2 linked regions of the Saccharomyces cerevisiae S288C genome follow. Changing the gene in region 2 together with the main gene of any one other region gives a genetic interaction. Each region holds a gene or a part of one and is shown on either strand. Other genes may lie near its edges.

Region 1 (2,893 bases), on a different chromosome or scaffold from region 2:
TTGCAATCTTTATTAGCCGCAGAATACGGTCAGCAATCCAAAACAGTGCACACGCCATTATCCATTCACCCCATCCAAGTTTATAGCAATGTTTCCAGCACGCATGGAAAAATCCTATTGCTAAGATAATGTGCGTAATAACAAACAATTCGTAATAATGTCGTCTAAAGAAGAAGAACGAAAAAAACACAAGTATTCCAACAATGATCATGGCATGTCTTCCGGATGTCCATAGATCACTATACTTCACGTATTTCCAGTAATTTTCTATGTATGCATGGTAGGTGTATCCTATTGCATGGATCGTACAGTCTACTAACATGAATCTTCCTAACCATTTGTGGTAAGTAATGAATGCGGTATATCTTATACCTGTGAGCCAAGTCATTGTGCTGTTTTTACCGCCAAAGAGAACTATCAAAGGAAAATGTGCGAATGCCAGGATCCCTGCCCTGTCGGAAAGGAAGATAAGCACTTGGCTTCTGCGATCACTGAGCAACTCATTATGGTCAAAATTGTAACTACTCAACAAGAACCCGTGCAACAAAACGTAACCGAATAGGACAAGGGTCTCTAACCTGGTAGGGACCAGACCGATGAAAAACCACCTTCCCACTGACATAGCATGGTTATGAACAAGCGCTGGAAGAACATAGTGGCCTCTTAAGAAAGCAGACACCTTGTTTTTGAACACCGTTTGTTTAAGTCGAGAAAAGTTCAAGAAGTGATATACAGCTGCAATAAACAGAACTCCTATCCAGTATAAGCAAATCGTCACTCCATAAACATTTCCTTTGTCTATATTATCCAGGGGCCCAAAATAAGCCCATACCCACCTATCTAGAGAGGCTTTATTGGGAGTGACGGGATATCGTATGTTTTCCTTTACCTCATCAAGAGGCCGGATGAAAAGGGATGCATTGGCAAAAATTCGATAATACTCCTCATTGCTGACGACCTCATCTTTGTGATAATCGTGGCAATACTGATTAATTTTGCTAAACGTTTTTTCGAATATTTTTTTACTTTTCTTCCTACTGTCGAGAACATCCTTCGCGCAATGTAACCAAGACCCTAGTGCTGGTTCATAAGTGCAAAGAGTAGCGTGCCGACCCTTCACATCCGTGTCAAATTTGTGTGATTCCAATTCTTTAGCACAAGCATCAATTGCTATCTGGTCCCATTGCGTTCTTTTCTTAGTTGATGCTGGTTTTGCTAAAGAACCTGGTGCCAAATACACCAACAGCAGCACTAATCTAGCGAAAAGCATTCGAAATCTGGGTGAATTAAATTAACTGCGACAAAATTGGTGATGTGACATACCGAAAACGCTACATTACACATTTGCCAAGTAAAAAATTGACGCTCCTTTTTTAATGATCGCTAATGTAATGAAAAGTAAAAATCCAATTAAACGAGGAAGCGGTAAAATATGATTGCTGTGTAGTAATGCCACAGTCTTCTTAGTCCTACCTATGTCCTAGATTTTTTTTTGCACCCTGTTTGTTCCGCACCCCGCTATCCCATATTTTTTGATGTATGTGAAGGAAAGCAATCTAAGGGCTCAAGAGCCGAGTTCCGCCATTCTAGGAAAGGGTGCAAAAAAATGGGGTTCAATTATCGTTCGAGATTTGTTATTTTTTTTTTTGTAAAAGTTGATTTATGGGGTATTTAAGCCAAGAACTATTTGAAGTATTAGGAGGTAATATGAATGTTCGAACAGATACAAACAAGTACTTCCACTCGCTTAAAAATAACTAATAACAATAATCCCTAAAATGAAATTCTCTTCCGCTTTGGTTCTATCTGCTGTTGCCGCTACTGCTCTTGCTGAGAGTATCACCACCACCATCACTGCCACCAAGAACGGTCATGTCTACACTAAGACTGTCACCCAAGATGCTACTTTTGTTTGGGGTGGTGAAGACTCTTACGCCAGCAGCACTTCTGCCGCTGAATCTTCTGCCGCCGAAACTTCTGCCGCCGAAACCTCTGCTGCCGCTACCACTTCTGCTGCCGCTACCACTTCTGCTGCTGAGACTTCTTCTGCTGCTGAGACTTCTTCTGCTGATGAAGGTTCTGGTTCTAGTATCACTACCACTATCACTGCCACCAAGAACGGTCACGTCTACACTAAGACTGTCACCCAAGATGCTACTTTTGTCTGGACTGGTGAAGGCAGCAGCAACACCTGGTCTCCAAGTAGTACTTCTACCAGCTCAGAAGCTGCTACCTCTTCTGCTTCAACCACTGCAACCACCACTGCTGAAACTTCTTCCTCTGCTACATCCTCTAGCACCGCTGAATTATCTAGTTACACCGGTGCTGCTGATGCCATCACCGCTGGTACTGGTTTGATGGGTGCTGCCCTTGCTGCCGTCATGTTATTGTAAATGATATGTGAATAATCATGCGGGATATCCGATTTTTATGAAGCACCTTGCGGCTTGGCCTTTTTTCGAAGTTATGTTAGAATAAAAAAATTTTAATAACACACATTAAGTATGTATGTATATATACTGTTTCAAGTTCGTTGGTCTTCCTTTAATTGTTTGAAACGGTTAAAAGTATCTAATTAAAATAAATATACCCGAAATCATACTAAAAAAATAGTTAATATTAATAAAAGTAATGATAATAATAATAATAACAATAATAATAATACGATGATGATGATGAAACGAAAAACTGCTACATTGAAGTCACTGAGAAACGTAATGAAAAAAAGTCCTTTTTACTAGCCTTTTGAAGGAGAAAGACAATTATATTAGCTTTTCATAGATAAGTTATAAATATGCTATACACGATAACTAATAGCTTTTTTCTGGTTTGAAACCGAGCTTATAATAGGTAAGAAATCAAACCAAGGGCCAATGCACCGACACTTGCTCCT
Region 2 (5,979 bases):
TTCCATTTTTTGCAGTATAGCTGAGTGTTGTTACATTATTTCCTATACTCAGAGGCCGCTCTTTTCTTGAAATAGGCGGAGGTGATGATGGTTCACTCGATGCCTTACTATCAAAGGAAACGTTACTGATTTTATCAAGAATTTGCTTTTCTTCTAGTAGTTGTCTTGCTCTGAAAAAGCAATCGACCCAATTTTCATTGTTATTTATTGTCGAAGACTTCACGGCATTGAATGGTATTTTGGATAACGTTGAATATGAAGGTAGCGAGATAAACCATATTCTATTCTTATATTTTTCCAGGATTAAAAAACCCTTCCTTGTCAACTCATTGAATTCAAAATCGTACATGGACAAGTCTGTATCTTCTATATTAGCCATCTGGTGTTCTTTGTTTTCTTGATCATCATTTCCCTCCATAACTGTGTTTTTGTAACTTAACATTCCGCTCTTCTTCAAAGTCAATACCTGTAAAAACGACTCTGAGTTTTTTAATTCTTCTTTATGCTGCGCAACTAGTGACGTAATTAAATCATTATCGATCTTATTGTAGCTGTTCAAAGACATAGCAGGCCCTTCGTGTTCATATGGAATGCCATAAATGAAGACGTAGTCTTGTTTTAAAACATGAATATCAATTGAGTTTCTTCCATCTAAAGTGTGTGTTAAGTCCTGGTTCCTTATCTCTGTTGACGGCGCCGATAGAGCTGACGATGCTGACGATGTTGACAACTTTTGTGGTATTGATGATGTTTGCAAAGGTGGCACATTAGGCTTTGTGCGCGGAATTGACTTATTTCTCACGTTGTCATTAATTACCGGTACTTTGGGAGGTATTCTATTTGGTGCAACTAGTTGTGCTCGCTTGACTTGATTGGATTGTGAATTAGGCGGTAAGGCAATATTTGCAGTAGAATGTGCCGCCGTATTTGTTAATACATTGGTATCATTAGGGGCGGTCACTGCAGGCGTAGTGGACGGTACGGTGCCTAAATCATCCTTACCTGTTGATATACCAAGCCTTTTTCTCCATACTACTATGCTACTAGTAGTGTTGGAAATTTTCGTTGGTTTCTTACGTTTTTGTTTTGTGATTTGTATACTTCGTGCTGGAGTGTCAATTACATGTAATTGTCTGGTGGGTAGTATATTCTGCGGTATATTTGGGAGTCCCAAAGTAGTTTGTTGCAGCGATTGTCCTTGTGATTGCCAGATTCCTCTCCATATTTTGATTTTATCATTCCAATCTACTTTTGAAAAATATGGGTGTCTTTTTATCTGTTCGAGAGAGATTCTCTCATTGACCTCTATCACCAATATTTTTTGTACTAAGTTTATTACAAGGGGATTTATTGGTGATGTGCTATTATTGATGCGGTTATTGGGTCCCCATGGATAATCTAATGCTACGATTTTTTCAAATGTCTTCAGCTCATTCTCCCCTCTAAACGGCGGTTGTCCTTGGACAAACTGATATATCATGCAACCTAGTGCCCATATATCTGAGCCATAACCGCATTGGTTGTATAAAAGCAGCTCTGGAGAGACATATTCGGCAGTACCAACAAAGGAAGCGCAATTTTGGTTGTCTTTTGAGCCGTTGCTGTCAGAGTTAAACTTGGCCGAATCTCCGCTTAAACTAGGGTCTATGGTGGCAGCGGCCCCAAAATCAGTAATCATAAGTCTACCATCCCTGTCTAAAAGGACGTTTTCCGGTTTTAAGTCTCTATGAATGATGCCATGTGAATGGATAAATTCTAATGCATCAATTAACTGTGCAGTGAAATGACGCGTCCATATATCATTGAAAGTACCCATTTTGTGCAATAAGGAAAGTAGTTCTCCACCTGGGGCAAAATCCAAAACAAAATAAAGATTTTCCTCATCGTGAAAAGTATAGTATAGTTTGATTATACCCGCGTGATGCTTTTGTGCCAACAAATTCATGGTATTCTTTTCAATGGTGACATATTTTACCTTAGCTTCTTTGATTATGTGTTTCTTCGAACAAACTTTAATGGCATAAATTTTATTCGGGCTTTTTTTATCTAGAGCTTTAAACACAGTAGAGTAAGAGCCATGGCCCAGTTCCTCTTTAAATATGAAATCGTGCGGAGACCTTTTCCTAGACGTCATATGTCATACCAATGTCCCACACCTACTCTTTAAATTTTCACTCAATTGTTTCAGCCTCTGAATAGATAAGACGTGGAAGAACTGCTTACTTGCTTGGGTTAGGCTTTAGGCACTATTATTCTGTTTCCTCACACTTTCAAATCAATGTACCTCTCTTCTGCTGCCTTCATGAAAACCCCTTCGCTACCAAGAAATCACCGCGCGGGTAAGCATGAAAATTGTTTCGATCCATTGTTACCTCAATATGTGACATTAGCTGCGAGTAAGGAAGTTATATTGTTAACACTTTCAGTATCATCTCTAGTCATCAGTACGTGTGCTTGGGGTTGACCAATGCAGATATTTGTTTAGTGTATATAGGATTCGAAGGATTATAACGATTCTTTTCCTTTTTCGGCGAGAATCGATGGCACCTTTCTTTTTCTAAAATTTTTCAAAGCTCATCTCATCTCATTTTAAGCTAAGCGTAAAGCAAAATGACATTGACAATACCCAGCAGTTGCAACGGCTAGGTGTTTACACCAAGGACTTTTAATATATTCAAGTATGTCAGAATTACATGCTTTGCTTACTTTCCCAGAGAGGCCCATTTCTCAAAGTTACTATGTACCAAAACTGCAGCATTTCTTAAAATCTGGTATACCGGCTACATATACTTTGGAGCAGGTCGCAGCCTTCGAGCATGAGGAAAAGAACAGGAACGGGGATAAGGAATTCAGAGAGAGCACTGACGACAATAAAACCTCAAACACAACGCCGTTACACGTTTTAGCAAGATCGCTACCCTTGGATATCAAGGATGAGGAACTGCAAGTGGTGATGGATATGATGAATATTCTTTTTGAGTATGGGGCTGGATGGAATTTTATTGACTACGAGGACAAAACAGTGGGTGATTTGTTTTTAGAGAGAAATCAAAGTAGGGAGAGCCCTCTTTATAGACGGCTCGTGGAAGCTGGTGTGTCTGCTGAATTATTACTGAGAAAACTCAATGGTGGCGACGTCGAATTCTTGGATACAGATGAACTAATAGGTATCGAGCCTGAGGAAAGCGTTCAAACAGCAGTTGATGGTCAAAAAGAAGAATCAGTTGGTAGTGATGACGATGCTACCGCGGCAAATCAACAAGTGTACTTAAAAACAGAACTAGAGTACAAAGACGATGCGCTTATCACAAAGGAAAATAAGGACGGTGTTATGATGGATTGGGAAACCAAGATTATGGAACTTGCTTCCGAAACCTTATTTCCTGATCCAGAGGCCACTAATTCTGCTACGATCTTAAACATTGGATTTGGAATGGGGATCATCGATACATTCATCCAAGCTCGAAAACCATATCGTCACTATATTTGCGAAGCTCATCCAGATGTTTTGGCCAAGATGAAAATGGATGGTTGGTATGAAAAGGATAATGTGGTTATTTTAGAGGGAAGATGGCAAGATACGTTGAATAATTTATTAGACAAAGGTGAAGTTTTCTTTGATGGTATTTATTATGATACATTTAGCGAGCACTACCAAGACATATTGGACTTATACGATGTCGTGGTAGGTTTAATTAAACCAGAAGGCGTTTTCTCATTTTTCAACGGATTAGGCGCTGACAGATCGTTGTGTTACGATGTATATAAAGAAATTGTTGAGATCGATGTTGCTACATATGGTATGAAATGCGATTACACCAGATATTCTCTTGACGAGCAATTGCCAGATTGGAATGATGTTAAGCGGTCTTACTTTAACTGTAACTATTATTACCATCCACGTATCACGTTTGCTTAATTATAGAATAATGTAAATTGCACAATGGCAGGGGCCGATTTCCAATACTAATATTAGTTTCGAAAATCGGAAGAAAAAACTATATACATTTGCTACTTTAAGTATATATGATTATGCAGAAATGGACATATGAACTAAATTATGTCTAGTAACACCTCAGTGTAAAATGCTTTTCTTTCTCTTCTTCTTTGGTTGTAAAGAGGCTAACTTCTCCTCCCTGAACGACTCTTGAATATCTTTTTCAATACAGCGTGCTTTGTTAAGGTTATTCATGTTTACCGCAAGAATATTCAAAATCTCCTTGTCGTCAATCACAATCTTCGTGTTGTTTGCTTGCGTCTCAGTAGTTTCAAGGCGATCCTTGTACTTTTCTTGACTTACCTTTTCTTGAAATCTTTCTTCGATCCATTTAGACTTCGTTTCTGATTCTCCTTCCCCAAAAAATGCGTTCGCACGCTTTTTTAATCTAGACTTTACGTCATATTCCCAGTTCTTGGTGGAGTTCATCTCTCTCCATCTCCGTTTCCTCACATTGTTAATCTCCTTCTTTAGACAACTCAACTCCGCCTCGGTCAATCTAGCCTTGGCAAATTTTAGGACTACACTACGCTTACTTTGTACCTCTTCTGGAGATGGTATATCGAATGTGTAAGTAATGGATTCGCTGTTTGCCTTTCCATCGGCTTCCGGTGCGGTAGTGGCGTCAGCAGAAAGCTTTTTAATGCGGCGGACACGTTTAGCTTTGGTAATACATCTACCCGATGGAGGCACTAGTCCATCCAAATTCAAAACCTGTCTTGGTGTTTTTTTCAGGTATTTTACGTTTTCATCTTCATACTGGTAGTTTTTAACATCAGTGGCTGTGATTTCGGGCAGAATATTAGTGATAGTAGAGGAAAGAATGTCGGTGATATTACTTCCCAAATCAACGGATTCATTCTTTATTTCGGGTATTTTGGTATTTACCAAATTTTGAACTAAATTAATAACGCTAACTTCAGGCTTAATTTGCGGTCTTTTTAAGGGAAATATGATGGGAATTTTTGGTTTTGCTTCATTTAACGGTTTGAGAGAAACATCAATTAATTTGGGCTTTCCTGTTGTCGTGTTTACACTGTCTGGTTCATTACCCGTAAGTTGGGCTGCATCAGAATGCAATGTAGACTTTTCATCTCCATCTTTCTTATCAGACAGGCTCGCATCTTCATTCAAATCTGTAGCAATTTTCTCACCTGGCTTCTTTTTATCCGTTTTTTCGACAGGAGATTCAATTAATATCCTCTTTTCATTTTTTGGATCCCCATTTGTCTTGTCTTCAGTTAGAGTAACTTCCTCAGAAGCCTTGGTACCGACATTCTCCTTAATTTCTTGTACGCTTTGGGTTTCTTTCGCTGTTTCAACATTATTTTCCACAGGTTCTACGCTCTCTGCCCTCTTCGTAAGTTCTAGTTTATCTTGTGATGGTTCTATAGTTGAAACCGCTATACTAACAGGAGGAACATTCGCATCGCTGTCTTCTATTTTAATTGGCGTAGTAACGCCCTTTAAAGTATGCCCAGCGATTGTAGAATTAGAGTGGGGATCGGGCGTGGCTTTATCAGGGGATTCAGAGCTGCTGATTTCTGTTCCTGCACTTCTGGCCGGTAATTGTTTGTCTAATTGTTGTTTCACTCGAGATGTATTGAAAATAGGAATCATTTTCAGCGGATTCTTCATTCGAGACGCAGTTGTTGCCAGTTCTGTGGTAGTTCCCTTAGAATGAGCGGCTTGCATACTGTTTTTCCTTGCTTGTAAAGCTGCCCTAATAACTGTAGACTTGGCATGTTGAATAATGGTTGCCAGCCGTTTCCTTGCCTCCTCAGGTGTGGCGCCAGCAGCTGTTTGCGATTTTGCAGCAGCTTTTAATGTATTTATTATCGGTAGTAATATGGCCGGTAAAATTCTGTTCCTAGTACTTGCCGTACCTTCTTTGGAGACACGAAAAGAATTATTGGTTCTCTTTCTATACTTTTTGATATTTGGTATTTTCTTTCTTCTAGCTACGGGTAGTGCAAATGGTG

Evidence for each region. Genes that interact genetically often act in the same process or in processes that back each other up.
Region 1: mutations in RMT2 (region 2) and FIT3 together harm fitness more than expected from each alone (negative genetic interaction), as found in Saccharomyces cerevisiae (2 studies listed by BioGRID).

What each region holds. Positions count from the first base shown.
Region 1 is NC_001147.6:1,059,941-1,062,833, reverse strand, and holds FIT3 (Fit3p), read left to right. Parts: upstream 1-1,778; coding exon 1,779-2,393; downstream 2,394-2,893. Other genes in the region: FRE5 (putative ferric-chelate reductase), read right to left, coding at 1-1,270; FIT2 (Fit2p), read right to left, coding at 2,842-2,893. UniProt on the Saccharomyces cerevisiae protein: Involved in the uptake of non-siderophore and siderophore sources of iron. Has a role in the retention of iron in the cell wall and periplasmic space.
Region 2 is NC_001136.10:1,391,276-1,397,254, reverse strand, and holds RMT2 (protein-arginine N5-methyltransferase), read left to right. Parts: upstream 1-2,680; coding exon 2,681-3,919; downstream 3,920-5,979. Other genes in the region: protein kinase PKH3, read right to left, coding at 1-2,134; SPP41 (Spp41p), read right to left, coding at 4,076-5,979. UniProt on the Saccharomyces cerevisiae protein: S-adenosyl-L-methionine-dependent protein-arginine N-methyltransferase that methylates the delta-nitrogen atom of arginine residues to form N5-methylarginine (type IV) in target proteins. Monomethylates ribosomal protein L12 (RPL12A/RPL12B) at 'Arg-67'.